Lonchura striata: one gene and its partner. Each later gene encodes a partner of the first gene's protein in a complex. Links are inferred from orthologs where the notes say so. Each region holds a gene or a part of one and is shown on either strand. Other genes may lie near its edges. The genes, in order: coiled-coil and C2 domain-containing protein 2A and TCTN1.

Region 1 (16,092 bases):
TGTCATTATGGCATGTGTAGAATGACCAATATGTTGTATAGAAATCATTGATTAATTTCAAATCTGATCATGAAGAAATTTTGCTCTTTTGCTCCTGCAATGTTTTGAAACTAACCAGACTTCCCCGTGTACTGATGTGAATTGTGGGAAGACATCAGCCCAAGATATTTTCCATATAAATTCAAATTTAGACAGATAAATGCCCCAAATGCAATATCATGTCATCAAAATTGATATATTTTCAAATAATATACTAGCAATAGCAATGATTTACTTTAGGATAAAGTCTTGAGACCTTTAATGAGGGCAGGGACACATGGTACTTATATACATATGTCGTCCATATGTGTAGTAGAAGTATTCTTCTTGCCAAAATTTATAGAAATAATCTAACAGGATGACTTATTTTTAACTCTTCACGCCAAAATTTTAAACTGTTCAAAAAAGCATAGAATCCAAATGGGAAAACTTTGGGAAATTAGCTTTACTTTTCTATAATTGTACAAACATAAATCTAAAATTGCTAAGAAAAGTAAACTCTTGGTTTACTTAGTCCCATGGTGTCATTTTCAACATGGGTGTGGTTGTAATACATCTTTTATACTGGATTCATTTTTACAGATTTTTTACATGGGAGCACTTAGCCTATAGTTAGGATTGCAACCAGCAATATTTCAGTATAAAGCTGTATATTTCCTCTGTTTCATTAAGAAAAATTAGTTTTGTCTGAAAATTTCCAGATGTATTATAACTTCAATACATTTCTGTGGAGTCTGGAGAAAATCAGTCATACACTTTCCTTAAGGCTGGGTTTATCAGATTTTGTAATTCTAATAAAACTAATATGTTACTCCTAACATAAAGTTTATACTGGTTCAAATATCATAAGCCTATTTCCATATTTTATAAGATAACAATCTAATAAAAAACTTCTTTTAGTTGGTTTTGCTGCATGAAACATATTCTGGGTCCAGTCCTGCATCTATTGAATTATGCTTCCTGGAAGTCATGGGCTAGGTACGATCCTTGTTCTGTCCTGTGGAATTCAGTGCAGGCAGCATAGGACAGTGGTGATGGTCTTTGTGCCTCAGATACGCACTGATGGCTGTGAGGCATCAGCATCAATCATAATTGTAAATTATGATTGGACTGCATTTTGCACTCATATTGTCCTTAGTTTGCAGATGTATAAATGATTGTACAGCAGGGTGATAAACCAAATCTCCAAGTGTTCTTTTCCATATTTTTCACAGAAAGCAGCCCTTGTGTGACACTAATAAATTAGATGTCTAGTTAGAAAAATAATCTGCTGTTGTCTTCTATCAGGCATCTCTCACTGTCAAATAAAATAATGGTTGTACAAGCATTGCCAGTTTGATTTGTGGTCAGGGCTTTGCACCTGTTCACTGCACAAAGCAGCAGTCATGCACTCACAGTTGTGAATGCTGATGATGTGCATGTGCACACACTGATGTTCCATACATAACCATTGTGCTGGTTCTGCAACCTCAGCAGCATCTTTTTTGTCATTTTGTCTGGTTGTAACTTTCTTAATCCATCAAGTACACAGAAAAAACTTGAAATTTCCATCTACCTTGGTCATAACTAAAGTGGGCTCAAGAGTTGTGCAACACAGATCACTAACATTTAACGTTATCTGAATAATTGTTAGAAACAGCAGGTCTCTGTAAATCTGGGATGAATAAAGGATTGCAAATTCTTGGAAAGTAAGAGGACCCAATGAAAGATTGCCAGTCTTGACTGGTGTTGAATGCTGGAGAACTCGTGATATTCCAAGATATTTTTACAGTCATTGGTTGCTGCCACTGGTAAGATGGATTTCCCATTTCCAGTGGGGATTGATACTGTTTATCACCAATGGACCTTGCTGTGCTCCTATCTGATAGAGGAAAGTGCCAGATACTACCAGAAATTTTATCTCCAGATGGGTACAGGTGATTAAATCACCTCTTAACCTCATTGACAAGAAAAGTAAATTGACCTTGTTACATCTCTTGTATAATCCCCATGAATAGAAGTATAAACATTTTTTTTGCAACTTTCAAGTAAGTTTTTGAAGCACTGACAGAAGTAGTTGCTTTCTTGGTAACCACTATTCATCTCTACTTTTAATTCCATTTATCATACATCCAAAGGGTGGTAGCAACAGCCTACTTTTATTACTCCTATTTAGCTGATAATCCATGAGGTCCCATGTATCTTTTCCAAGGTCATTGATTTGCTGAATGCAGTTTTCCATCTTGTCTGTGACCTACATTTATTTTATTGCATTTGGTCATATTGAAATATAACTTCTGCTTTAGTGGTGTGACTCACTTCACTTCATATAATTTACTCTGATTAGTGATTACTGTCCTGTCATTTTTGGGCATCCACAATTATCTTCAGCAAAAATTTTATGCTTTTTTTCCACATTTCTCATAAAGATAATAGATAGCATTTAAAGAATAGCAAAGACACTTGGAATTACACTGAAAATACCCACTGAATACTGACTATCTCCAAGTTTCCAGATCTTCCAGTTTTTAATTTCTTTATATATTTGATAGCTTTGTTCTAGTCTTTTATGGCTGCTATTGAGTAGTCCTCAGCTAGTACAAATCTGCACGTACCTACTGTGAGGTTGGTATGAATGCTATTTGTTGTCGTAAATATCACGAGACTGGTCTTGTGACCTGTGCAGTGGCATCCTGAAGCAGTGATTCCTATTTTATTCCTCTCCTATCTGTTTTAAATGCATTGCCCATCTTAAAATGACCAACAATGATATTGCAGTGAATTGTTCAATTTTACTTTAATGTAATATACAAAATAACCATTCTAAAATGCAAAATAATACATTTTATATCAAATCCAATGTACAGTATCTTAAATTTGTTTAAATAGTATTATAAATGTAATTTTAGGAAAGAATCAGTCCTGGAGTGATGCAGTCTTTTGTTCATTACAGTTCATTTTGATATCCCTGCTGTTCGTTAAAAAAAAAAAAATCCATCCTAGGTTCTAGAACATTCTTACGAGCTCAGATTTGGTTCCAATCAAAACAAGAATGAACACCCAGAGATTTTTTTTTTCATTTCAACTTTGTTTTCCCCACACAGATGAATAAAATCCTATGCTGGGGCCTCCAGTTTGAATGTCATTTGACATCTGCTTCAGAGCTCATCTTCATCTGATAAAGCATCAAGGTAGTCTGTATCAACATATAAGAGAAATCCAGAAAACAAACTGTCTGCCCATGTTGGATCAGAAAAGAGACCATTTTGGTCAGTGTAGAAGATTTCAAGCCATACTTCATCTTCTGGCTGAAGGTAGATCACTGTGGATCCAGAAGCAACGTCGTGGTTGCCGGTGTTGGCATCAAAAGTCTTGATCCGGTACTTGCCATTGTGCACCAGCCCAATCGCAAGATGCTTGTTGGCTAAGGTGATATCGTAAGAAAAATAATAAATCCCTGGGATGGCACAAATGAACTTCCCTGTGGACGGGTTGTAATGCTCCCCCTCATTGAAGAGGACTTTATTGAATACAATTGGTAGTCTTTCCTCTGGGTAGCTTGTGGTGATGCCAACAGAAAAGGCAGATTTCAGCACTATCTTTCCACACTTGCAGACCCCTGGTGCACCTGGCTCTCCTCGGTCTCCTTTATCTCCCTTAGGTCCAGGTGGTCCAGCTGGACCTACTTCACCTTTGGCACCAGTCAGTCCTCCAGGTCCTTTCTTACCAGACTGACCTTGGTCTCCTTTCTCTCCAGCTGGTCCTAAGGGCCCAGTCTTTCCTCTTAAACCTTCAAAAACATTTTAAGTTAGTTAATCGTTAATACATATCACCTCAGTAAATGATTGTGTGGGCTACTGCGTGTACCTGAACAAACAAGAAAAACATGGTCAGAATTTCAAAATATCTAGAAATACTTTCAAAGTTTTCTAGTAAGTTTGAAAAAGGAATGCCAGTAATTCCTACTTATCTTCATGTGTCTTGATTACACATTAAAGAATGTTATATGTAATCAGTCTATTGCCGCCTGAACTAACAGGCACTACTGATGGCAGGGACAGCAGCATGACTACCTACGTAGTTATACTTGTGTGCTAAATATTTCCTAAAAATAGAGCATTTTTAGTGCATACCTAAGAACCTTCTAATTATTAACAACTGGCTAATGGCACAGGTGGGGCACCAAGCATGCTTCATTCTTTCCAAATCTTTTCTTAGCATCTGTGCAAAGAAAGGTTGTGCATTTACATTTCTTTACACTGATATATGTGCATACTCTTACTGTATTTATATATGCATCACACTTAAACCCACACAGACACATACACACACTCATCTATATAAATATACAGATATATATATACCTATATATACATAGATAGATAGATAGATAAACAGATAGATAGATAGATAGATAAATAAATAGATAGATAGATAGATAGATAGATAGATAGATAGATAGATAGATAGATAGATATAGTGATGATGATAACAGTGATGATGAAAGGTCTTGTTTTCTTGCACTACTGTGTTAGGTTACACAAATAATCAGTACCTGCACTCCCTTTTTCACCTTTTTCTCCCTTCCTGCCATCTCTGCCATCTCTTCCTGGAAGACCAATGCGTCCATGAGGCCCCGGGGATCCGCTGGCTCCAGGGGGGCCGGCAGGGCCTGGCAAACCTGGGATGCTGCAGATGTATCTGGTGTAGTAATTTTCTCCTTTGGTCTGGCTTTGAAGAGGCTGTTCGCTTGTGTAGATGGCAAAACTTGTAATGTACAGCAACACAAACATCCTCAGATCTGGAAAAAAAAGTTTAGTAAGACACTCTTGTCATATGCAAATAAGCGTGACACTGTGATGCATTATGCACAAGTAGAGGTGCAGACCTCAGCCTGAAATTTCTGCATTACCAAAATCCGTGTAGGAGGCAAGGAGGAAAGTGTGAGGTTGGAGCTTTTTCTGGGCGCCTTACATGTTGCTGTTTGTCTTTCAAGTAAGTAGCTGTAGACTGACATAGTGTAACTGGTGAATATCAGCTTTTTGGGGCCAAATGTTGACATGTGAAAAAATAATCTGGATTTTTTTTCAATTCAAAGATCTTTGAATGCATAGTATTTTGTCTTTGGTCCCTATATAAACTTTACAGATAAAACCCTTCTTGCTGCAGGGAGTTAGTGAGGATAAAGCTTACACCTTCATTTCATTTTGAAATTTGCACTTATGGTGGCAAATTAATCTCCATCTTAAATAACTGCAGCAGAAACTTGCTGAAGCTGGAGAAAGGATGGCAGTTAGAGAGCTACAGCTTCAGGTCCCCTTGGAAACAGCACAAATAAACACTTCACCCTCATCTGTCAGGTGGAACCAGGCAGCTGCCCTGCCCTGCAGGGGATGGTGGAGTGTGAATGGACTGCTATCAGGCTGAGTTTTTTAAACCTGGCTTGGGCTGTCATATACAATGAACTGTGTTGCAATATCTTGCAAGAAAATTGGTTAAATCCTAATATATGGTATTTGGGTGTTTTCATAAGCGACTGGATAAAAATTAGATTTCTCTGTCCCACTGTGTACTGGGATACTAAAGAAAAGTAACTGTATAAACAGTGACATGCTGAATAATTGCAGTACCTGATATACAAAGGCGTCTTAAATTTAGTGTTGCATTAGCAGAGAGTCAGTCATGGGTCAGGTGAGAACCTTCAAGTCAAGCTGTTATTTCTAGTTCCTTTGATGTCTTCTCAGAAAATTTGTGTGAGTTTTTTTATTGGAGCTGTCCATTCTGTCAGAGCTAATTTACAGCATTCAAGGAAATCAGAATCCACAGGTTTCTGTGGGAAGAAAGAGAAAAAACAGAATGGGCGATTGAGAAAAATGTTTGTGAAATGCAGTCTATCTTTTCTTAACAGTGAATCACAGACTAATAATTAAGGTTGGAAAAGACCTTTAAGATAAGATTATTGAGTCCAGACATCCACCTAACATCATCACCATACTCATCACTAAACAATGTAAAATCCACATGTTTCTTGAAAATCCACATTTCTCTTCCAGAGATGGTGACTCTGCCACCTTCCTGGGCAGCCTGTTCCAATGCTAGTCAAGCCTTTCTGTGAAACCAGTGAAGACAGATTTCCTGCTACTCAATCTAAACCTCCAGTGCCACAATTTGACATTATTTCCTTTCACCCCGTCACTTGTTCCCTGGGAGATGAGACTGACCCCCACCTGGCTACCACCTCCTTTCAGGGAGTTGTACAATGTGATAAGGTCTCCCCCAAACCTTAGGGCTAAACAGCTCCCTCAGTAGCTCTTCATAGGACCTGTGCTCCAGACCCTTCATCAGCTCTGCTGCCCTTCCCTGGACAAGCTCCAGCACCTCAATAGATTTCTTGAAGTGGGGTTCCAAAGCTGAACACAGGATTTGAGGAGTGGCCTCACCAGTGCCCAGTATGGGGGGACAATCACTGCCCTGGTCCCACTGGCCACACTGCTGCTGGGACAGCCCAGGTGCCATTGGCCTTCTTGGCCACCTGGGCACAGCTGGCTCGTGGTCAGTCACTGTCACCAGCACCCCCAGGTCCTTTTCCACTGGGCAGCTTTCCAGCCACTCTACCCCCAGCCTGTGGTGCTGCCTGGGGTTGCAGGACCTGGCACTTTGTTGAACCTCACACAACCAGCCTCAGCCCACTGATCCAGCATCCCTCTGCAGAGCCTTTTAATCTAGAAATTGTTGTTCTCATTCTCCCCTCTGTGATAATGATTAACATTAACTGATTTATTTAAAACCCCAAGCCATTACATTTATTTGCAGTTCATGGTGTTTCAGCTGCTATAAGGATGGCATGGTCAGGTCTATTCAGCAAGGAAATGATCAGCATATATGTATATACATGCACATATACATATACACATACATATACACAGTCTTTATGAAGAATCTTTTATTTTAAAGAGCGGAAAATTAGAAACTGTTATGGTACCAGTGGTAATGCAGTTAAAAAGACGAAAATCTTTTGGAGAGAAATAATGCTCCAAAATTCTCTTTGGTGATAGATATTTTGCTTTTCATTTTAGACATCTTGCATCAAATTGGCAGAAACCAAACTATTAATTTTGCTGTTATTTGATAAAACCTTACCATACAGTCACGCATAGCAGTCTCCACAAATGGATTAGCATATGAATGCTGAACAATACAGCAGAGCAGTGAATGATGACTCCAAGGCAGTTGTTAGCTACAAGACAAACCTCACAAAGACGTTTGCTCTGATGTACTACTGAGAAAACTCAAAAAAAGCTTATGGACTTTCATGGGACTTAAATCAGGGACAAAAAACTCTTTGCAGAAAAGAAAAACTTCAAACACTTAGCCAGGAGGGAGCAACTTGGAGGGACTTCATGCTTAAAGCTGCATATGCATTTTACACAAAGCTGATGGATAAGAAGCAGACATGACCTAAGGATCAAGGACTGGAAAAAAATCCTGCCCTTTGCCAGATGAAAGTCTGAATCAGTAGGCTGGATATTCCCACACTGTGTTGCATGTAAGCCAGGCAAAAATAATCTCAACAATTTCTAGTTTTGCCAGTGTCAAGGATATTTTACAAATCAGAGTAAAAAACTTCACACAGCTGTTCCTGTCACTGGCTGGCCAGTACCTTATTGATTTGTGAAGCTGTCTCCAGCTCCCAGACCTCCCCTGCTGTTCTTCTCATGTGCCTACAGGAAATTAATTAGTTTGCGACATGTATTTCTGAAAAGACCATGGGAAAAATGTCATTTGGGGAAGGTGAGGGGAATATGGTTGTTGAGATAGGAGTGTAGGGATGTACCTTAGATGCCTGGGGCATGGTGTTTGGAGAACCAGTTTGGGATGGAGAAAGCATAGAGGACAATATACAGAGATTTCATCTATGTGTTGGGGGTCTTAAGGAGTGAGGGGCTGTGTAGCTGAATGGTAGGACTGCAGTTAGGCAAACAGAGCTGGGCTTGGGAGAAAATTATGATAATGGTTGAGGTGATGATGTTTACAGACCTGAATTTATTCTTGGGGAAACACAGAAAGCTACTTCCAACAGTGGGAGCCAAAAAATTACATTTGGGAAACCATGCATTAAGCCAGAGAATCAGGAATTCTCTTGCCCTTTGAATTCAGACTCTTGCATTTTTTTGTGCATAACAGTAGTCAACTTATAAGGAGGGGGTGCCTGTCTGTTATTGCAGTCTCTTGTAAAACAACTAAAAAAGAAATCTCCTCAGACCACGGAAGGGAGAACAGTGTTGAACCCATGCCCCCTGTTTCCCAGTGAGTGCCATTAAAAGCATCACTGAAACATTAAAGGTGAAAAAGAACATATGACCATGGCTTTTGAAAGTTCAGGCTGACTTAGGAGGCCAAAGAGATTTCAGTTCACATGGTTTTAAGAAGTTAGAGGGTATAATAGACTTCCCAAATCACTTTGTCAGGAGTCATCTATTGTTATAGTTTTATTGTTGTAGTTAAATATTTGTTCACAGAGAGTTAACTGGGAGGCAGAATGTGAACCATAAATAACACTTTGTTCTTGGCTTTTGGTTGTCCTTTTCAAAGATAAAAAACTTTTGTCCATAAACTGGGGTAGGAAACAAAGTCATTTATACATGCCAAGTGATTTGTCTCCAGAGAAAAACAACATTTGAGAAGTTCAGTGTATTTTTCCAAAAACTGCAAGCCAGAATAAGCACATGGTATTCTTCTTCAGAACAATAGCATACATCTTCATCATAGCCATTACCAAAAATAATAATGAAAATTATATAAACTCAGAGTTAGAATAATGTTATTCCACATTTAGGAAATGGCATTTCAATAAGTTTCAAATCCACTAGGTAGAGGAAGAATGCAGATCAAGGCATTCACTGGAAGATGATGGACATGCTGATCAGTTATAGTCATAGAATCATGGGATGGTCTGTGTTGGAAGGGACCTTTAAGATCATCTAGTTCCAGCCTCCCTGCTGTGGGCAGGGGCACTTTTCACTAGACCAGTTTGCTAAGAATGGTTTCTGAAGCTGTCCTAGGTTGTAAGATAAGCTTGTATTCTATTTGCCATCTGTTGAAGGCAAACCTGTTGGACAGGTTTTGTTATCTTTTCCAAGAACCGGTTTTGCTCCTAAGAGGTAATGGTTTGTTAGTGGGCCATTGACTGATTCAATGCAGGGCTGGTAAATGTAACACCGTGAGGGGTCCCACCCAGAGGGGGAAGCCAAGCACTCTATTATTGTATAAAGGGGTAGCTTTTTGGGGAGAGAGGCAGCTCTCTGGGCGGGACTCCGAGAGAAGCAGCTCGCTCTCTCTCTTCGCGGGATTCCCAGAGAAGCAGCGCTCTCTCTTCTTTCGCGGGATCTCGCAGCGAAACAGCCGGGGCACAGGGAGGCGGCGGCGGAGCTCAGAGGCAACCCCGGCGCAGAGGAAGACCGGCCCCACTGCCACCAGATCTTCAGAGGAAAACTATACCCTTCTAAAGATCACCACTTCAGCTGCAATTCATCAACCACTGCAAGGGGATCAATTGTCCCAGCAGAACTGCTACTGGCACCCCGACTCCTCAGGTTCTGGACTTTTTTTTTCACTGGTTTTGTTTGTACCGATTGCATTTGCCTTTTTAAATTGTTGTCTAGTTTTCTCCTAGTAAAGAATTGTTACTCCCATTCCCACATCTTTGCCTGAGAGCCTTTTAATTTAAAGATCCTGGTAATTCAGAGGGAGGGGGGTTTGCCGTTCTCCATTGCACAGGAGGCTTTGCCCTCTTTCACAGACTCCTGTCTTGTCGAACGAAGACAGAAGCAGATTTTCCAAGTGAGTTCTTAAAGTTATCTGATTCATTTAATACTGGAAAAACATTCAAAAAGCTTTCCTGGACCTTGTTGCAGTCTGTTAAGGTGGCAGGTCTAAAGAATCAAAAGCAGCATGGCCAGCAGGTCAAGAGAGGTGCTTATGCCTCTCTACTACACTCTTGTGAGATCCCACCTGGAATGCTGTGTCCAAATCTGGGGTCTTCAGTGAGGACAGACATGGACATCCTGGAGCAGGTTCAGAAGAGACCACAAAGGCAATCAAAGATCTGGAGCAACTCTCCTATGAAGTGCTGAAAGTCAGTACTTAAAGGTGGTACTTTTGCAAAAGATGGAGACAGAGTGTTTAGTAGGGCCTGTTGCAATAGGACAAGAGGATATGGCTTTAAACTAAAATAGGGTAGATTTAAAACAGACAGAAAGAAGACATTTTTAATAATGATGATGGCAAAACACTGGAACTGGTTGTCTAGAGAGGTGGTCGTCAATGCCCCATCCCTGAAAACATTCAAGGCCAGGTTGAACAGGGCTGTAAGCAAAGCGATCTAGTTGAAGATGTGCCTGATGATTGCAGGGGGGTTGGACTAGATGACTTTTAAAGGTCTCTTCCAAGACAAACTGTTCTATAATTCTATTATGTCCTTGAGAACATACTTTGTAAGTTAGATCCCTATTGAAGCCAGGGTTCAGCAGAGGGTTTATCATCAAGCCACTGGGAAATCTCATTTCATTACTGGTATACTCAGACTATGTCACTAACATTTTTTTAAACTTAGAAATTAAGGGATTGATTGTAAGAAATTCCTAGTTTTGAGACTTTCTGGTATATGATCTAATCTTTCTCACTTGTTCAAATATGTAGGGCTAATTCTAAAATTTATTAATTGGCATAGTTTTGAAACAAGACTAGAAAATTTCTCATGAATCTGTTGTAAATAAAAACTGGGTCAAGCACCAGTAGCTATTAGTCACAAGCTGCCCTGGCTAAGTTCTTACTTTTGTCTTACTTTGCGAGCTTTGAATTCACTTCCAATGCATACACACAGATGTTTAGGCAGTAGAAGATGTGTTTAACTTCCTTGTACACAAAGATGTAGATGAGAAATTGTGATACTTGTGGGCCCTTTCTGTCTGCAGCCCTGGCAATGGATTATTGGTAAAGAACAAGATAGTCTATATGTCCTTTTGCTTTCCAAATGCAAAGGCCCGAAATACCCCTCATAGCTACCAGGAATCCTCACTGTGAGATTCACAGACCTTCCCCAACTCTCCCATCCAGGAACCGTAGGGTAGGAAAAACAGTGAATAAGGAGATAATAAGTCAGGATGAGAAGCAGAGAGAGAGACATCTTCAGCAATTCATTTGAAACCCCACTGGCTATGCCAGTCTTTTCCATCTCAAAACATGATCTGCAAAAGTCAGCTGTGTCCACATGCCTGAAGGGTTCAAATCTGCCATTCAATCTGCCACCACCATTTACCTTTCTACACGGCCTTAGAAACACGTGCTTGTGGTTTGGCACGCCACACTCAGCAGTTTCTTTATTCTGTATGATTTTTATGCCATTAAAATATGAGTCTTAATGATGGATTTCTTTTTCCCATTGATTTTGAAGTGATCATCCACCTTCAGCTGGCCACAGCTTTATATATCTCCCAGATTGTTTTGTGCTATGGAGGCTATGCTGAACTTTCAGAGCTTCACCTGGAACACCACACCTTACTCTAATGAATCAAGACAACAGCTGGCCACTACCACACTGCTTGGGTTACCTACACAATCCAGCAATCTTCACATGATTTGTTTTGTTTTGTTTCCCTTGTGTAAGAAGGGGCAAGTGACCCAACAGTTTTGAGCAGTCTGAACTTCTGGTTCCCAGTACCAGAACAACTGATGGTGCCCAAAGGAATCAATCAGCCAGTGGGAAGGACCATTAACTAAATATTTCTGAGAAAAAAAATCCTTAAAGGCCTCATTAGCAGTGCTGACATTTAATATTCTCGTGCCCTTAAGTTTATAGTCAGTTATGTTTGAACAATCTTCTTTATAACTATGTTGAATGCAGTCAGATTCTTCAACCATGTCTCAAGCCTCCATTAAAAAGCAAGTGCATGTAATCAAGGCTAGAAGTTTAGTATGCTTGACTTTCAAAATATCAGAAGCGTGGGAGCAATTTTATTTCTCAGTGTCTGTCTTTATACATAGTATCTCCAGGTATTCCCATTATTTGGAAGGTTGTTTTTCCGAAAAATGCCAGACGGCCTAGTCAAAGTGTGTATTGGTGAGATAGCTTGACTCAGCTGGTGGGAATTTTAACAAGAATGCTGGCAAGCAAAGCAGTTTCACTGCCAGCTGTACCAGAACACACAAATAAATATAACCTTACAGAATTTGTTTTGACAGAAAGCCAAGAAGTGAGGCCAGTTGCTTACAGTTGGCAAGTGACATGGAGTCAATAACATGTTTGCTTGCAGTGTAGAGAAAAATAGCCAGGATTTAACACTGGGAGACTCAGGATATGAGGGTGCCTACACCTCAGGCACAGGATTATTTGAATTGTGTTCTCTACTTCCCTAAAATAAAATAGGAAAAAGAGACAGGAGTCATAAATTAGAAGCTGTCTTCAGGGATGACCTGGAATTTGAAGGGTTGGTTACAAATCTGGACTGGAATACAGCATATGGAAGCATGTCAGCATTTAAAGATGTGGATAGATGCCTAGAGCAGTGTGCCCATCTCCTGTGAAAAGTCTTTCAATTCAAGCATGTTTCCTCCTCTTGGTTCCTCTCCAGCCCTTACCAGGAAAATTTCCATTTCCTGTCTTAGATCATTGTGCCTTGCTGACCTTGTGGTGATAGAAGGGAAATAAAACACAGGCTGGGTAAACCATTTTGGATGGTCTGGAAAGAGGAAAAAACAGGGCACAAAAATAAAATGTCAAACTGCAAGGCACATGGGGACAAATAAGAACAAAAGTCACAAATTCTTGACACAAGTCATGGGGACAGACTTCCCCTGCCTTGTGCCTTCCCACCTGGACGTTGTGAGCAGAAGTCCATAGAGAGCTCCCCTCATGACAGCATTCACTGTGCACAAGAGTGACTGATGGGAGACAGACAGCAAAGCAAGAACTACTTGGGAACTTCACTGGATATATAGCTGAATATGCTGTAGTCCCTGGGCATGGCTTAATTCTCATGCCCTCAAGGTATATGTTGTTTTTCAGATCATGGACACCTCTGAAGATGGATTCTCCTTCACCCAGTTGCTCCCTTAGTACAGCATATGGCACCAAAGAACAGTGTTCACCATGTGAGAAAAGAAATGTGAATAAAACTTCAAGACCCTCAAAAGGACACTCCTCCTCCAGCACATTGTTTTCTTCTGGAAGTTCATCAAATGATATCACCCTGGCACTGTGCCTTTCTGGGAACTGTATGGAAAAGTAGGCATCCAGCCAGGGACTACATTCTACATTGAACTAGGCAGAGACAAAAGGAGCATGTTAAAGGCTTAGACTGCACTAAGCTGGTTGATTTTTCTGAAGAAAGTTGGGGAAGGTGCCCATAAGCTTCTCTGACAGGGGAGAAGTGGAGGCTGTGACCTGGGGCAGGGAGCAGCCCTGTTCAGCTGAATAGCAGTCTCTTGTCCCTGTTGTGCTGTTAATGGAAGAGGATATCTGTCCATGGCTTGACATGAGTAAAATTTTTCAAAAACCAGCATAGTTAAGCTTTTAGGTGTAACACTTGCAACAAACCAAGCTGATAGCTTTTCCAGGAGGAAAACTGGGAAGTTTTTTCCTACCTGGCAACCCAGATGTTCAGGACAGCAAAGGGAGATCCAGGCTGTGCACACCTCACAGTGCTCAGTGTGTTAGCAACCTGTGGACATATCGATGCTGGCAGCTTTCTTGCAGGACTACATCCAGAGGGCACTGCAGTATTCACTGCCCAGAGTTAGCTGCTAGGTCTCCATCTTCTGACCCTTGGTGTAATGTTGGCTTGGTCAAGAGAAGCAAAGACAGAGCTTCAAGAAACTGAAGTCAAACATGAGAGAGATGGTGGTGAATCTGAATCTCACAGAGGTGTGAGTGGCTGTGTCTCAGCACAAATGATAAATGCATTTAAAAACGGAGATTTTACTGTAAATTGGTGGTGCTTGAAGTTCTGAAAGCCTAAGGCATTTTGAAATGGCATGAGAGCTTTGAAGCCTCCAGTGGCTTGTGTCCCCAGCCTCTGGGACTGACAGGCTCTCATGTCAACCCTGGTGGTCTCTATTTTACTGCTCTGACTTGTCAGTAAAAACCTGGCTTCAAAATCAGCATACTTTCCTGACTCTGGCTGTTCTGAGAAAAGTCTTGTTCTCGTGGAGGGAGTCTACCTCAAAGCTATTACTTCAACAATATTACTTCCATATTTATATTGGAACAGAAAAAGCAGAATTTGGCCTGGTTTAGTCACATGTGCAATTGTTATGGTTAATGTCAGATTCAGGAGATTGGAGCCAGGAAGATATAAAAATAGAATAAAATTTATGTAATGTCTGCTTTTGGGTAATAACAGGTTTTTAAAGTATGCTTCTTCGTGATTAAATCAAACCTTTTATTTTCAGAGAGGTTGACCTTGTTAGACAGAAGGGCATGCATATTAGAAAGACAGCTCTAAATAGTTTGGAGCTGTGAACTAAAATTCCATTTAAATTCTGTATGGTTTGATATTTTCTTACTGAAACAAAGATTTCTGTTTCCATAGAAAAGCAGAAGGGTCAATGTATCCTTGCTCCCAGCAGATTTACCAGGAGAGCTGTCTGCACCCAAGCCTACTCGGTATCTCTGGCACCCAGCTGGTACCCAGCACTCAGGACCTGCACTTCTACTTGATGAGGCTGATGTTCTACAACTTCATATCTGGTGCAGGTTATTGTGATAGGCAGGGGCTGGCTGTTCCCTGGGACTGGGAGCGATGGAGCTCACAGGGAACAGGGTAGCAAGGCAGGGTCTCACCAGCCAGAGCCCATCCCCAGCAGGAACCAGGGCAGCCTGCAGGTGACCAGAGACAACCTGAGGCCAGATCAGAATATCAGCTTGTGGATGGGGGTCAGCTGGGCTGAAATGGGGTCCTGGACCATTGGCAGGGTAATGGGACACCCCAGAGAGGCTGGCAGGGATTTCTGGGATGTCAGCACCCGCAGGGCTCTGGGAGGTTGCAGGCTGTACTTATTGAAAGAGGAAGAAAGCATTGTGATCCTGCAGCATAAGTTTAGTCTACACATATGGAATTAACAGTTTTCAGCACAAGGCTTTCAAGGGTTTGTTTAATTCCATATGGATCTTTATGCCTCTCCCCACTGAAGCATTCACTGAGCCACGTAGACAACCTGTGTCCTTCAGAATCTTGTCTTGCTTTCATCTGTCTCCTAATAGGAACCATTTCTCTGTTGGACTGTTTGTATTTGTAGAGTCTCAGTCCAGCTTGTTTAGATTTTGTTTAGTACATGAATTGCCATGTACTGAGAAGTGTCAAACTTGCTTATTTGAAAAAAAAAATTTTGATTGTTCTTACAACATATTGTTAAAATCTAAAATCTGTTTTAAGAGCTCTTTCATGTTGAAATAATACTGATATTTTTTTTTCTCTGTATTTCTCTGGAGTATTCAGGCAGGAAGTTTTAAATTTTCAAGTAAAACGTTTATGAAGAAAATGGAAATATTATCTCATTTATTTGTTTTCTAATTTGTACAAACCTTGAAAGTGAAAAACTTATGCTCTTGTATAGAGCTATGGAGGGTCTATCCACCTGTTTGGTTAACTACTATAGACTACTATATATCCTAATTACAGTCTGTCCTGACACATCTTGAGGAGAGGAGAGGAGAGGAGAGGAGAGGAGAGGAGAGGAGAGGAGAGGAGAGGAGAGGAGAGGAGAGGAGAGGAGAGGAGAGGAGAGGAGAGGAGAGGAGAGGAGAGGAGAGGAGAGGAGAGGAGAGGAGAGGAGAGGAGAGGAGAGGAGAGGAGAGGAGAGGAGAGGAGAGGAGAGGAGAGGAGAGGAGAGGAGAGGAGAGGAGAGGAGAGGAGAGGAGAGGAGAGGAGAGGAGAGGAGAGGAGAGGAGAGGAGAGGAGAGGAGAGGAGAGGAGAGGGGTTTGTCTTTTTTTTGACAGAAATTTGTCTGACACATAGTCTCTTAGATGAATGACAGGTTTTTTGTGATATAATAACTTCAATTTGATACACATAATA
Region 2 (15,366 bases), on another chromosome or scaffold:
CTGGAGGTCACTGGCAGTCAGCACTGCAGCCATGCCGGCAGGAAAGGCAGGAACAGCTCATTGCTTTGGCAACTCCACTCTCCCCCCTAACCACGGTGTGTGTGAAGCTCCACTGTGAGATTCCAGCAATCCCCAACACTCCTTGGATCTGCTGGTCAGGCCAGGCCAGAGAGCAGAGATTATCTGCAACAATTCCCAAAACGTTGTTGTCACTCCGGCTGCCCATCCCGGCAGGGAGGGCGGGCTCCTGGGGATGGGGTTTTCTGCAGGACCCGCTGTCCCAGTGCTCCCAGTAAGGCTCCCTCAGTTACTGGTTTGCTGTTTCTTTTGCTGGCAGCTCCACCTGCTGGCACTGGCAGGGCTCCTGCTCTGTCCTGTGGCCACCCTGTCCCCAATGCCATCACTTTTCTGTTGTCACATCCCACCTCCAGCTCCCCTCGGGAAGGGAACCTTCCCACAGAGCATCTCCAGCAGCCTCTCAGCCTTCTCCAGTTCCTGCATCTGGCCCTTCCTGACATCCAGCGTGCTCTGGGCAGAACTCTGACCCCTCCCCAGCTCAGCCACTGCCTTGGAAGGCAGCACAGGGATAAGGGGTTATGGATTTTCCAGTCAGGAAAGGGAATTCACCTTTAATTCCCTTTCTCAGCTGCTAGAGCCTGGCCTGAGCCACTCTTGTTCTTTCCTAGTCCTGCAGCCAACAAGAACTAATTTTGGGAGGAGATGCAGACACTCAAAGCCCTTCTGAGGCTTCTGCATTTTCTCCACTTCTTCCACAACAGGAGGATCAAAAGCCAACATTTGGGAGCAATCCTTGGCTGATTTCAATGAGATCCTGAAGGAGAGGGAGAATGATCCCACCTGTGAGGGTGTGAAGTGCTGAGTGGGCTTTCCTTGCCTTTGGGAGCTTTGGAATCTGTGAGCAGCCTAGAAAGGGTCTTTAAATAGTTACTCACTGCTAATTAAAAGAATTTAAATAATGACATAAATTAAAATGATTTTAATGCTGAAGAGATTGCTGTTTCTTTGCAACCTGCAGCTTCTGGAAGGAGCCATCAGGTTAAGGTATGATGTATTTCAGTTTCATTTTTTCATGACTGATTTCTTTGTCTTCCTGAATATCCTTACAGGCGATATATTTGTACAGAAGACATCATGCCCCAGGTCAGAAAGGGATGAAAAAGTAGGCAAAACTTTGAAAAATAACCCCAGACTGGATTTTAGCAGGCAGGATCTAAAGAAACTTGCTCTCAGTCATGTTGTTTGGGACCATAAAGAAGGCTGTGCCAGGCTCCACTATCAAAAATGAGGCTTGGAGCAAAGGATTAAACCTGACAGGTTCCTCTTTCAGTACAAAGTTTTAGCAACTCTTTAAAACTCAGATTTCTTAGAATCATGTGTTCTGATAAATGGACTTCTTGGAAAAGCCTGAACATGCACAGGAACGTGAAACTGCAGTAGCTCAGTGCCACAACCTTGGGCTCTTCAAAACTATTATTTTTTACTTTATCTTTGACTACATTATTTATATTTGGCTAAGCAGAGAACAGTAAATGCTTCTGTTACCAAAGCTTGAAGTAAAAACAATCCCAAAGGCTTTCTGCATAAAAGTCTGCTGTATAGGGAGATGTTTCTTCCCAACCCACAATTTAAAAATCCAAATAAAACACCATATCCCTCAGTAAACAGAAGTTACTTCATTCTGCAGATGTAAAAGATATAAAATATGAGTATTTCAGCTAGATGACTGTTGCAAATCATACTTACTGCCAAAATGCTGGAGTTGATATAAAACAACATGCTAAGTGCTTGAATGCTGTCACATTTTTCCACACTTACTGATCTAATGCATTTTGTGGCTTGGTTTACTAAAAACCCTGGAAAAAAAAAGTCACCAAGCATTAACTGAAAGAGGAAATGAAAGAACAATTATGAAAAGCATAAATGAAAAACAATACAAGAACTTAGGTACAAGCAGAATTGAAAGTAAATGTCGCCTCTATTGCAGATAAGGTTTTATGTGAGCTTTGAAGAATGAAACCTTTTATATTCTAAAAAAAATGCTATGAGAAAAAAATATTATTTCTGAACAAGTAGAAAAAGCTTCATGAAAATTACTTAATTTTTCAATCTCTTAATAAGATTTTTATTTGCTTCCACAAGAGACTTCAGTCCTGTAATCAGCACCCTGACTCTTACAAGACCACATTCAATGATGACAGTGGGGTTTGGGAAATGCAGGTGTGGCTTTGGTTGTGGATATTTTTATTTTTTTTTTTCCCCTCCACCTCTGTAGATTTTCAGGAAATTGTGTGCAAGGTTCAAATGCAGAGCTCAGTCTGCAAATCTGAACAAAGAACCCTGAGCAAAGAGAATCTGCCAAAGGCTGCCCAGGCAGGGCTGGCTTGGTGCAAACCCCTCCTCCCTCAGGGTGTCACCCTTGTACTGTTGGATTAAACCAATTATGCCAAACAGGACATTTTATTGTTGGATTAAAAACCCTTTAACAAGATTCTCAGGGATTTACATATCTCACTTTGAATGTTTAACAGAGATGCAAGACAATTTCTAGTCTATGTTTTAAAAAAACCAAACAAAACAGAGAAACAGAAGTGATTTGAAAATCATCTGCTTGTGAACTTTAAGCTGAATTCTCCATGGGGAGTGTGCCAGATTTCTGACTGGTTAATCTAAGAGCAGAATATTAGAGAGCAAAAAAAATGAGATTCAAGTGTACTTTCCAACCTGCAGGATTTGCATCAGAGCACCAAGAAGAGACAACAGGACTTGGCAGCCTTAGAAATGCATCTTCTGTCTGGACAGGAACCCCATACTGCCAAATAAAAATTACAGGTGTGTTTCAGCCCATTTTTATTAACAACAAATATGAATAAAAGCAGTACCTATTTCCACAGGATCTCTCAATAATGCTCTGTGAAGCAATTTTTCAGTCACTGCTACAGCTTTATGTTGAAAGTAGCAAAAAAACCCAAAAAAGTGCCTTGTTTTTCAAAGATCTTAAAAATCTAGATCACTTTTTAAGTAACTAAACACAAAACATTACATTTCTTATTTTTGTATTTCTGAATTTGAAGTCCAATATAAATTTTGCTTCTTTCAGCAGAACTGCATTATTTAAAAGCAGATGCAAACAATGCTGATTTTTTTCTTTCTGGAATAATCTAATACTAACTGCATCAAATATGATTTACCTCCTATTGAATCAGAGATAATTTACCTCATATCTGGAAGTTTCATTTGCCTCAGGGGGATTTTGAGCATCTGTATCCAAATTCCAGCTGTCAGGCTCAGCACTGAAAGAAGCACCACCATATTTGTCAAGCAACTGATCAAAATTTTCTGCTGTTGGGATTTCAGGGGTTTTGAGGTACAAGGCTTGTTTATCTGTCAAAATATTTAAAGAAGGAGATAATTTAAGGAAAAAAGATGCAGAAATGACACTTAGTAACAATGAGACAACTTTAAACATGATTTATTTAGGATGCTAAATTATTTACAAAAATAAAAAACCCAAAGTATTTTGTTTTTTCCAACAGAGAAGACCAAGAGTACCAGATGTTTAATTCTGTTTTCACAAGTGAAAGGATCATAACATAAGAACTGTGAGCAGACAGAATTACCAGTTTCCTGAGGGGATTAATAAAATAAAAATAGTTTTAAATTTAGTCTTTTTTTCTGGCACCTAAAGAGCCAACAAAAAATAACACCACAATGCTTAATATTGCCTACAACTCTACTTACAGTTTGCAGCATGAATGCAGAAAATACTGGGATTGACTTGGTCAATTATTTTAAATATCCTTTCTGGTGGATTTGCTTCAACATCAAGAGAATACACAGCAGCCTTCTGACTACACAGCTGGCTGTCACCTCTGCAAAGAAACAAAATAAATTCATGATCCACTAGAAGTTAGTGTTGACCAGATTTTAAAGTTCTTTTAATCTACTGAGGCAGCAACAGAAAAAACAAAAAAGGATTAAATTACTGAATTTAACATAATTTTGTAGAACAATTGTGCATCCTTAGGAGGTTCCTATTGTTTTATACTCTGTGCTTAATAATAAATACTAGAAAATTCTCCGACATGTTTTATTCGGCAGAGGAAACTGTGAGCAGCAACATGAAGGTAGGTAAGAAACAGACTGGGGGAGGGAAAACAAATTACAATATGAGAGAGAAAATGGCAAATTGTGTGGGGTCCAGATGGTTGAGACCCCAAAAATGCAGGGCTGCACCACAGGTCACACACAGCTCAGCAGCACTTTTATTTCTACAACCCAAGTGGGATGTCAGAGCAGGAAAACAGGTCAGTTTTGTGGATGTTGGAATAATATTCAATTTGAGCAGGGAATGGGAAGAATTCCTGCTCAAGATGCAAGTGAATGAAGTGGCAGAATGAGGAACAGGAGGTGAAATAACCCAGCCTGTCTTGGAAAAGTGTTTAAGGCTCATCAGGAGCTCAGAGCTGCAGGAGAATGTGCCAGTTCAGAGCCTGGCAGCACTGGTGTGTCCTACATGCTACATCCCTGTGAAATTTGATTTAGCAGCATAGAGCAGCTAAGGACAGGCCCTGGAGAAGTGAAATGACTTTCAGAAATTTTGAAGCCTAGAGTTGAGCTCTTCCATGAGGTGAATCACTTGTTAAAAGGATCCCAGCATAAATCACACCCTTCTGCTGCTGCTTCAGAGATCTCATGGCCTCTGCCTTGAGATCAGCCAAAATAACACAAATATGCAAATGTAGATAAACTCTGATGTAAATAATGAGACCCACAACACCTGCAGACACTGAAAATCCCCTGGCTTTTAATGCAAAAGAAACATTTTACACAAAAGAATTTGGGCAAAGAAACACAGTTTCATTTGAGGCATTTCTAGTTGACAAAGGCAGCACAGTCATCTGAGGCAATTAAAGTGTCACTCAGGAGGGTGTTGATTAGACCTTTCTGATCTATATAAATATCTGTAAATGGGGAGCAGGAGTCTTTTGTGTGCCAGAACAATAAGAAAGCACAGTCTGGCATGACTGCTAATTCAAATTCCAAAGCACCAAGAATAAACCCAGTGCTCAGATTGGCATAATTTATACAGAAGGTGGGTTGAAAAGCTGCACTTATTGTTCTGAGAAGTCACCAAGAGATTTTTTTTTTTTTTTTTTTTTTTTTTGCACATTATTATTTTGAAGTGAACTTTCTTAACTCCTCTTTGAGAAGATGGAATTGGGTGAAGGTGTTTTCAGATTAAATAGCAAAGAAACAACTCTTGGCTTTACTTTTTTGGTACAATGTTACATTTTACCATTTGTGAAGGGGCATTGGGGGAGCAGATTGGGAAAATTAGGGTCAGAAAAATGCTCACACTATTTCAACAACCTCTGAACTGATTAATTGTGTAGCTGATATCATAAATGTAACCAAAGAGGTTACTGATAACAACTGGTGATCTAGAGAAGTGGCCAGATTGGTCCTTTGGTATCAGTTTTCTTAACTTCCAGACACTGCATTGATCAAATTCTAAAGATTCATCATTCTTCCATGTGGCAGGCACATTCTTCTCTATTTCAGGATTTTTCATGGAGGAGCACAGAGGAAAGAAAGAGAAAACAATTTCTATTTCTGCTCCTTGTTTTTTCCCATGTGGAATGTGTTTGGAAAATTGTTTACCTGGGGTGAGTGATTGCTTGGTTGGATTCTGGTGAGGATTGTTGGAGCCTGATTGCCAATCCAACTCACCTGTGGCTGGACTCAGAGAGGGTCAGGAGTTGGGAGGGAGTTGGATATGGTAGTTAGAAAAAGTAGGTTTGTAGTTTTAATATCTCCTTTAAATAGTATATTAATGTATTATAGTATAGTTATAATAAAGAAATCATTCAACCTTCTGGAGTCAGACACCATCATTTCTTCCCTCTGGTTTCACCTACATCTACAACACTTCCACCCCAAAAAAAGCATCACCACCTAAATGCCCACAGGGAACAACACGGTGAAACAGGAGGAAAGAGGGAATGAGAGGGAAAGAAGAGGTGGGAGGTGGATTTGCTGCTCTGCCCGGTCAGGGACAGAGTGCAGGAGGGAGGGGTGGGAATTGCTGAGAGGAGAAGACAGAGCCGTGCCAAAGGCAGGCAGCAAATGAAGGAGGATTTTGTGGGTTTTGTGCTTTCTGAGGATTTCTGCACTCACACGACGAGGGGCACCGAGCACGCGGTGAAGAGGCTGAAGTCCTCGGCGCTGCAGTCGGGGTCACAGCAGCAGTTGGTGTCGCACTGTGCCACCAGCAGGTCGCAGACACACATCTTGGCAACTGCACCGGAGAGCAACATCAGAACGGCAGCGGGGACTCAAACCCAAACACTCCCACCTCTCACCTCGCCCTGCTTCTGACACTGGCCAAAAGTCTTCTCCAAATTCAAGTTTTCTTGAAGTTATTTTTAAAAGCCATCTTTTCTGCTGCTCAGCAAATTTATTTGGAACACATGGACAAAATCAAGACGTGCTAAAACCTGTTCCCTGAGAAACAAAACCCAACAGGGATTTTGGAGGTGTGAAAATCTATTCAGCCTGGCAGAGGAAAAAAAATAAGAGATACCAACAAGGTGTGTTTATCTGCTTGTTTCAAGTTATTGGGAAGGAAAATAAAACATTTTGAGATGTTTACAAGTATTGAGGATGGCTCAGGGTTCAGGAATACATTTCCCTGATGTGCCAACGCAACCATAATTTACTTCTTTGAAATTGTTTTTTCTCTCTGTTTTTAGATACTGTGACATATTGTAATCACAGACAGTGTAATTGCTAGTAATTCTGTAAACTGTCTCAGTAAAATATACTTGGCAAATTCTTCAAACTCTCTGAGGTCTTCAAGTTTATAAATTCAAAGAATGGAGATTATTCTACTGAACTGTTTTTGAGAGATGCTGTTCTATAATGAATCTGGATTTAAGAATAGCACAGAATGAGGAAAATTAAGGCCAGTGTTTTATAAGAAAGACATTCAAAGAATATTTTCATAACTAATTCCTTTATTTCACTTTGCTGCCTGTTTCCCTGTGGCTCCCTGGATGCTCTCTGACCACCTGAACAGTATCCAGGTATTTCCTGGAATCTCTGAAGTTCTGACTGTTCTTTTGGCTGAGTTTAGCCCTGGATCTTTAGCTCACCCTGTAAACAAGAGAAGTTTAAACATGGATGATTAGATTGCAAGGTTATGCCTGTGACACTAGGGATTTAAATCTCCTTTCCCTAAGGAGGTAGCACTGGGGTGAGTTCCGTTTGGCAAGTAACCCATGGAAAGCACAGCTCAGGGCAACACCACCCTATATAAAAGTGATATAAAAATGTAGCAAATTATACAGCGGGAAACACCTTCTGAGAACATAATAACTAAACTTCGTGAGCTCTGTTTTTACGACAATGTATCAGCGCCGAGGCTGAGCCTCGGGGCGAAGCGTGCAGCCAGCTCCAGGTGCGGCGGAGCTCCCCAGGGACACCCGGGCACTCCGGGCCCGCTGTGCCCAGAGCAGCGCTGGGTGGGCAGGAGACCCTGCCCTCCACCCCTCCGCCCCTCAGCGCTGTGCCATGCCCGGTCTGCGGTGTCCGTGCCGCCCTCAGCGTGCCCGGGGCTGCTCCGGGCTCGCTGGGGAGGCTCCGGGCGCCTGCACCCGCCCAGGGGTGCCCGAGCAAGCAGCGCTGCAGAGAGCCCCAGAGATCCCCGGGAGAAGCCGGGCGGGTGTGCCAGCCCCGGGAGGCCGCAATGCGAAGGGGAGGCCAAAGGCCGAATGCCCGAGTGAGGCCGCCAGCGGAGCCCCCCTCAGCCGGGCAGCGCCGCCGGCGCCCCGCAGCGCACCCACCGTCCGTGACCGGGGCCGGCGCGCTGCGGACCGGCGCCTGTGCGGCATCACGAGTGTCTGCGGGCTCCGCGGCCGGCTCTTCTGCCCGGAGCGGAAGGAGGAGGATGAGGACGAGGAAAACGCCGAGCCCCGGCGGCGCCGCCATGGCGGCCGCCCTTAGCAACGGCGCGTTGCTAGGGAGCGCGGGCATGGCGGGAAGGGCGAGTCCGGCTCTCGCGAGATTTGGTGCGCTGAGGGGAAGGGCGGCGGCGCGGGAAGATGGCGGGTGGGGTGAGGGCAGGGCTCGGTAAGGGGATGGCTCGGTGTGTGCGGCTCCTCCAGCCGCCCTCGGGCTCCCTCGCCGCCCCACAGCGCGGGGAGCCTCGCAGGGAGGCCACGCGCAGGGTTCTGGCTGGATATGGCCGCCGTGGTGGTGCCAGGCGGCCGCTTGTGCCACCCAGCGCCCTCAGGAACAGCCCGGCGGTGATGAGGGCTCGGTGCCCCCTCAGAGCCACGGGAAGGGTTTCAGGTGTAGTGATCCAAGTGTAACCCACGTAGGTGGTTTGGGAAAAAGTTATTGGAAGGCCACGCATAAAAAAAAAATATTGGGGAATGGCCCTTTGCAAGATATAAAATATTATATATTTATATAGATATATAGTCTACATATCTATAACTATATTTCACAACACTTTTGGAAAATTTTTTTAGTAATTTTTCCTAAAGCAATTTTTAAACTGTTGAAGTTTCTCCTTTTGAAGATGCCGTGTGTCTTCAGTACTTAGCATATTCAGTAATCTTATTAGTAATCTTTTTATGTGCGCTGTTATCTTTGAGGTCTTTTTCAACCTAAATTACTCTATTTTGCTACTAGTTTGGAAAAAAAACCGCGCTAGAGAGTGACTAAATGATCATTGTTCCTTAGATCATTCCCAGCCTTAAAAATTCTTTTATCTGTTTTTATTTCCCTGATCAGGTTCATTACTGTGAACTTGAAGGGAAGGCAACAAAAGCTCTCAGAACTCTAAAAACTCCAGCTGCACCCACTGAAAATGGGAATAACTCCAGAGAGCCCTCCTCTGCCGAGGCTGTTTGATATTATCAAAGAGCTGGTGACCAATGGGTTTCAAAAGCTCCAGGCATGTGGAACAAAATCCTGGAGTCATCCTTGGAATGGCCTCATTCCTCCAAGGACACAGTGACACAAAAGGTGAGAACCCCCTGTGCTCTACTCTGCCTCAGAAATTGCACCCCAAAATAACCTCGCCAAAAATAACCTCCAGCCTGCCTTCCTTGTGAGATATAACCCAAAATCTCTGGTTTTACCTTCTTCCATGGGGATGAAGAACTGGTGTTTTCAGTCTGTTTGCTGTTCCTGAGGTGGCCAAAATGCTGCTGCTGGTGTTGGGTTTGTTATTTTTTTCAAACTTAGAGTGACCACACACTTCCATTTTGAAACGGACCTGTGAAACGGTGAAAATGGCACCACAGGGCTTTATTTTCACTGAGGCTGTACCAGGACTGGCTGCAGCCACTGGAGAGGATATGTGCCTGCGTTTGGAGGAAATCCTGGGAATCTTTACAGCTGCATCTCTTTCACTGTCCCACAACAAAGGAACAACAAGAGAGGCAATCCTGCAGGAAGGACAGCTGGAACACGTGGCTGAGATACAACCTCCCTCTGGATGGAGCTGGTTTAGGGCCTTACAGCACCTTCAACTTCCTTGACTAAACTCCCACATGGTCAGTTAACAAGGATGGAGATGTTTCTCCTCCCTACAAGTCCTACAAAGTTGGAAATTTGGAAATTATTTTGCAGGCTTGGAGGGAGAGTGGTGCTTGGTTTATTTTATCGTCACTGGTTGTGATCTGTGTCCTTGTTCCACTGCAGTGTCATGAGATAATTAATACTAAAACACCTCTATTTGTTAGTTTACATGTTTCTCATGCCTTTAAAATCAGTAGAAGAGGGCTGATGACATTGCACAGGGGAAAACAATTTAATAAATTCTTCTTGCATCGGGAATTACATGGCAAAGCTGATGGTGCACAGGGGACCAACTCCAAGATGAAAACCAAGCCTTGCTGAAATCTGAAAGCACAGATTGCACCCTGGATGAATGTGGGCAGGAGCTGGATGAATAAAGAGGTATTAATTCTTACTGCATCTACCATTGAAATGGAATAGAAGTGGGCAACTGTTCAAAAGCAAAGTAGGATGGAATTAATCTGGTTTTCTCGTGACCTTTTTTTTTTAGGGCTTCACTCACAGCAACAGTTCACCTAAATCCACTTAAAATACTTGCTGTAATAGAAAAAAAAAAAAAAAAAACAGAGAAAGGCAAGACATCTAAGAAAAACAATTTGAGAAACCCCCCACCAGAAAACTCAGCCTGGTATTGGACTTCTGAAACAGGTTCCAAAGAGCAACTCCAAGTGTGTAGGATAAGATCAGGGCATCAATACATAATGCTTGTTCTCCATCAGAGAGATTTTAATTTATTCTGTCAACATGAGCTAATTAATAATTAAAAAGGGCACTGTGATCCTTATGTGGGAGGTCCTGTAAAATGAAAATTCAAGCAATTTGAGAGGCAGGAGATGCCTGTTTATTAAAAAACACATTCAGGGATTTACTCTATTACTGTTTCAATTACAGTTTCAGCAGCAAGATTCTGATGTGCATTTAAGCATTATAGAAGCTGTGACTGCCCCATCCCTGGAAGTGTGCAAGGCCAGGTTGGAGCAACCTGGGAGTGTCCCAGATGTCCCTGCCCATGGCAAGGGATGGAATGAGATGATATTTGATCCAAACCATTCTGTGATTCCTGTTGGTGATCTTCTGACTTTGCATCTTCTCTTGACACGTCATGTGGGAAGTCTCATGTTGTCCTCCTCACATTAGTATTCTTTTTAATCCAACTGTGCTGTCTTGAATTTCATCTTTTCAGAGGTAACACGGGGTTTGCCCTATGACAGATCACTTTAAAAGTCCAAGTGGACAGGCATTTGGAATTAAGAGTCCAAACAAAGTCAAACCAGGCTGAAATAAACTGCATTTTGGTCCAGCACAAGATTAGCCTTTTAATAAATAGTGAGGAGCTGAGGCAGTCTGTACAGCAGATGGCATTACAGGTAATATTTATCACACTCCAATCTCAGGGCTCAGATACTTGGAAGGACTGACATCAGCTATGAGTGAATCAGTTTTAAAACAAGCTGGAAACCTGCTCGTGCCTCCAGCAGTTGATTCCTTTGTGCAGCACTTCTGTTTTGCACTCCCCAGTGCATTTATTGGTCTGGACAAGCCTAGCAGGAAGAGTTCATTTTGTTTTTGCAGCTTAAGTGAGCTGATGTAAATAGATCTTGGACTTTGAGGTGGGAAGATTCCACCCAGCTGCAGTAACCAGGGGGATGCCCTTTGGTCCAGTTTTTGTGCCAAATTTGTGCATTGGGGAATTTTAAACAAATATCACTTGGCAGGATATTGACTCTCAGGGTACAAGAATAACACTGAGTAAGGCAGCAGGGCATGGGCTGGGAGGGATTTACAGGGAGAACTATCCAGACTGACACTGAACAGTGAAGAAAACCAGTTCTGAAGTATTTTATTAAAAATAATTGGGTTTTTGTCTAACAGGAGCCCAGATATCCTCTGAATGAAAACCAGGAGCAGTTTTTCATCTGGGCACAACATCCTCCTGCAGGAGTGACAGAGTTCATCAGAGGTTACTAATTACCATGGAAATGATGAGGTTGTCTGGCTGTCTGGACAGACTTGGGTGGGTGACCTGGAGTAGAATCATGGGACCATTAAGACTGGAAAAGACTTCCGAGATCAAGCCCAACCTTTGACCAAATACCCCCATGCCACTAAACGGTGTCACAAAGTGCCACATCTACTTGTTTTTTGATCTCTTCAAGGGTTTGTGACTCCACCACTTCCCCAGGGAGGCTGTTTCAAAGACTTTCATGGGTGGAGGAGTGTGAAGAGCTCCTGGTGTGCCTTGGCTTGGGGGCACTTAGGGAAGCACAGAGTCGTGCTCTGCCAAGTGAGTTTGTCAGCCCTGAGCTCACGATGTTCCTCAGCGTTTGAGCCGTGGTTGCTGGGCGAAGTGGCACAGAGAGAACCCTTCCAGCCCTGGAAAAGTCGGCATTGAGGCATGGAGAACTGGGCTTTAGCTGTGGGCTGAGCAGCACAGCCAGGTGATGCAGGACAGGTCACCTTGCAGCAACCCGAGCTGCCTCAGGGCACTGCAGGCAGCAGCACAGAGCAAGGGGTTAGACCAGGCTGGACTTGAACCAGACAGGACCGGGACAAGGAGGAGGAAGAATGAGACTCAAGGAAGGGAAAGAATGATTCTGTGGGGGAAGCTCTGCAAATATGTGCTTCCCTTTGCTGATAAAGGAGGGTGTGAGGCACTGAGAGAAGCCACCTTGTTTGTCTGCTCTCACACCCTGCCGGGCCCTGGCAGCAGCACGCCCTTATCTCCAGCACATTGGCACATTCAGCTGTGCAGCCATTCCCTAATCCACCACACTGGGCCTGGGCTGCTCCTCGTGTTCATTTCTCCCTGTTTTAACAGGAGGATTAATTTTTAAATAAGTTTGGATACAATTTCAGCGTTAACTGGATAATTCTACACATTGCTTAAGCCTTTAGCAGTATAAGGGGGGTAATATAGTCTCTGTCCAAGTGCACAGGGAGCAAAATGCCTCTCTTGGGATAATGAGGGTGCTTCAGCTGTGGCAGAGTTCTTCCTTTCACTGCAGGCAGCTCTGGGGGCAGGTTTCACACTTGCCTCTGCTGCATTTCCACCTCTATTGTTTGTTGTCTCGGGTTATGCAAGTGGCAGCAGCCTCTTGTGCCTGTACCCAGAGGAATTAAACGATTTTGCAAAGCAACCTGCTGGGAACTTCCAAGGGGACAAAATCATTGTTTGCACACCCACGAGCAGCACGGAAAACCGAGCTGCAGAAAATGAGGATTTGGGTCTTTTTGAGTATTGCGGGCCTTTGCGACATTGATGCCTTGAAGTTGTTGCTGTTGAAGATGCCCAGCTGAGAGCTTTGTGTCACTCTCAAGTACAATTAACGTGATTTTATGGGGTTTGAGCGATGACTGCACACACAACACACCCTTCTCGTGAGGCTTTTGTTTGGCATTTCACGTTCCTTAACCAAAATGGATTAACTGCCAGCCTTGCCACGGATTTGCAGAGAAGCCTCTCACGCAGAGCGCTGAGCTGGCTGTGTCCCCGGCCGCACCGAGCCGGGCAGAACAGGGCGAGTCATCCTTGGGGGAAAAAAAAACCAAAACCCAACACATTTTTTGCGCGGCGTGACTCACATAACCGTCCTCAGCAGGCACGAAGCACCGGCGGCCAGCGAGTCCCCGCGAGTTATTCGGAGCACGCGAGACGCGCGGGGCGTGGAGGGCAAGTATGTGGGTTAGGCGCAGCCGCGCTGTGCCCGGTGTGAGAACGTTAATTGCGCTAATTGCGGCAGGGAGCCGGCGGGGGCGGGGGCGCGGACCCCGCTCGGCGCCGCGGGGGCTGCCGGGAGCCGCCCGCTGTTATTGTCCCGCAACATGCAAATGAGGCGGGGCGGAGAGCCAATGGGGGGCGGGGGCGCGGCCGCGCGCCGCCGCCGCGCACGCGCGCCGGGAGGCGGGCTGCGGGGGCGGGGCCGGCCGCGCGCCCCGCCCAGCGCCGGGGCCCTCACCTTGCCTCAGCACGCGCGGCGAAGATGGCGGCGGCGGCGGGCGGCGCGGCGCGGGGGCGGCGCGGGCGGCTCTGACCGGGCACGGCGGGCGGCGGGGAGCGAGCCCGGAGGGGAGCCCCGAGAGCTCCGCGGGCAGCGGGGAGCTGGCACGGCCCCCCTCGGGGGGCGGGGAGGGTGGCGCGGAAGGCGGGGGCGCTGCCGGCGAGCCCGGCCGTGAGGGGCAGCGCGCGGCCCGTGAGGGGCAGCGAGGGCGGGTGAACGGCAGCCGCGGCCGGACGGACGAGGCTCCGCGGCGGGCAGGGCTCGGAGCGGCGGCGGCGCGGGCCGGCGGGCAGGGGAAGGAAGGCTGGCGCCCTGCGGCTGGCGCTCGGCGGGCAGGAGGCGGCTGCGCCGGTGGATCCCCGCGTTCCTGGCGCTCGGCTGCTGGGCGCCCCACGCCATGTTCTCGGTGCTCTCCTACGGCAGGCTGGTGGCGCGGGCGGTCCTGGGCGGCCTCTCGCAGACGGACTCCCGCGACTACAGCCTGGTGACGGCCAGCTGTGGCTTCGGCAAAGATTTCCGCAAGGGCATCCTCAAGAAAGGCATGTGCTACGGGGATGACGCCTGTTTCGTGGCGCGGCACCGCACCGCGGATGTGCTGGGTGAGTGGCCGGGCCGGGGGCTAAGGTGGCTCCGGCCTCGCGGTGTGGCCCTCTCCTCCTCCTCCTCCTCCTCCTCCTTCTTCCCGGAGCTGCACGTGGCGAGCGGCTCAACCCCCGGTCCCAGACAAAGGAGCTGGTTCTGCCTGTCATTGTCACCGTGACTTCGCTTTTTTAGCTTCCCAAGGAAGCTCTCGGGCTCTTTGTTGCAGCTCTCCCTGCCTTTAGCATGGGGGGTTGTGTGTGCCGGGTGTCCGGGCCCAGTCTGGGCGTTTCACCTGTGGGTGCCTGTAAGGCCTGGTGGCTCCAAAACTCAGAGAAACACTTCCCAGTTCGTTTCAGTTTCCGTCTTTCTTTAAAACCTGAGCCCCGTGTACATACATTGCATTTAAGCATACAAGATCACTTGAACAGGCACTTCCTGATTTTAAGGCGTGCAATGTCCTTGTCAAGTGAAAGGCAGAGTGACATTGAGACTGGAATCAAATGTCAAACTTCAGTTTCGTTCTTTGTTCTGGCCTGATTGCACTCTCCGGTTCAGAATCACTGGCGAAATGAATCTTAAGGGTTCAAATTTTAGAAGTAGTGAATAATTATGGATAATCAGTAGAATCTTTAGACTAAAGAACATTGCTTTTGACAGTGCTTTGACCTTTCTCCTGTGTACTCAAGGTTGAATTTGGCTGACTGATACTCTGCACAAGTTCGTCGTGGTGTAACTGCCAGAAGCAAATTTTTACCAAAACTTTGACACTTAAAAAAAAGCTTCCTTCTCCCTGCCACTGCCCGTGGTTTTGGTGGTTTTTTTTTGTTGTTGTTGTTATTGTTTTTGCATTTATTTATTTTAAACCTGTGGGGTTGCACTGTGCTGTCTCCTGCTGTGAAAGTGGTTGGTGGTTCCTCTGTTTGGCGCTGTCATTGTAACTTGGTTGCCATTTAACTGAGCGAGAGGTTTTCCTCAGGAAGCTGCAAGTTGGTGCTAGGTAACAGTTATTGCTGCTTATTCTCAAGGAAGCTGTTACTGTAAGAGTGATGCCAGAGCTCTCAAGATGTGGAAGGTTGCTGGGTGCATTTTAGACACTCATCATCTTCCCTGTGGTGCTTCTTCCAGATAAATTTTTTGGGATTAGAATTAGCTGTTGGATGCCCTTCCTTTAGCA

The links.
Region 2: coiled-coil and C2 domain-containing protein 2A (region 1) and TCTN1 share a complex: the UniProt entries of both Homo sapiens proteins name them as parts of the tectonic-like complex. The link is inferred for Lonchura striata from reciprocal best matches to the Homo sapiens genes CC2D2A and TCTN1.

What each region holds. Positions count from the first base shown.
Region 1 is NC_134606.1:15,057,957-15,074,048, reverse strand, and holds the start of coiled-coil and C2 domain-containing protein 2A, read right to left. Parts: upstream 5,725-16,092; 5' UTR 5,649-5,724; intron 4,820-5,648; 5' UTR 4,812-4,819; coding exon 4,574-4,811; intron 3,809-4,573; coding exon of another isoform or gene 3,177-3,808; exon of another isoform or gene 3,071-3,176; intron 1-3,070. UniProt on the Homo sapiens protein: Component of the tectonic-like complex, a complex localized at the transition zone of primary cilia and acting as a barrier that prevents diffusion of transmembrane proteins between the cilia and plasma membranes.
Region 2 is NC_134620.1:12,012,974-12,028,339, forward strand, and holds the start of TCTN1 (tectonic-1), read right to left. Parts: upstream 8,063-15,366; 5' UTR 8,056-8,062; coding exon 7,866-8,055; intron 7,177-7,865; exon of another isoform or gene 6,339-7,176; coding exon of another isoform or gene 6,320-6,338; coding exon 6,199-6,319; intron 3,891-6,198; coding exon 3,760-3,890; intron 3,403-3,759; coding exon 3,236-3,402; intron 2,831-3,235; coding exon 2,743-2,830; intron 1,875-2,742; coding exon 1,765-1,874; intron 1-1,764. Other genes in the region: PPTC7 (protein phosphatase PTC7 homolog), read left to right, coding at 14,008-14,209. UniProt on the Homo sapiens protein: Component of the tectonic-like complex, a complex localized at the transition zone of primary cilia and acting as a barrier that prevents diffusion of transmembrane proteins between the cilia and plasma membranes.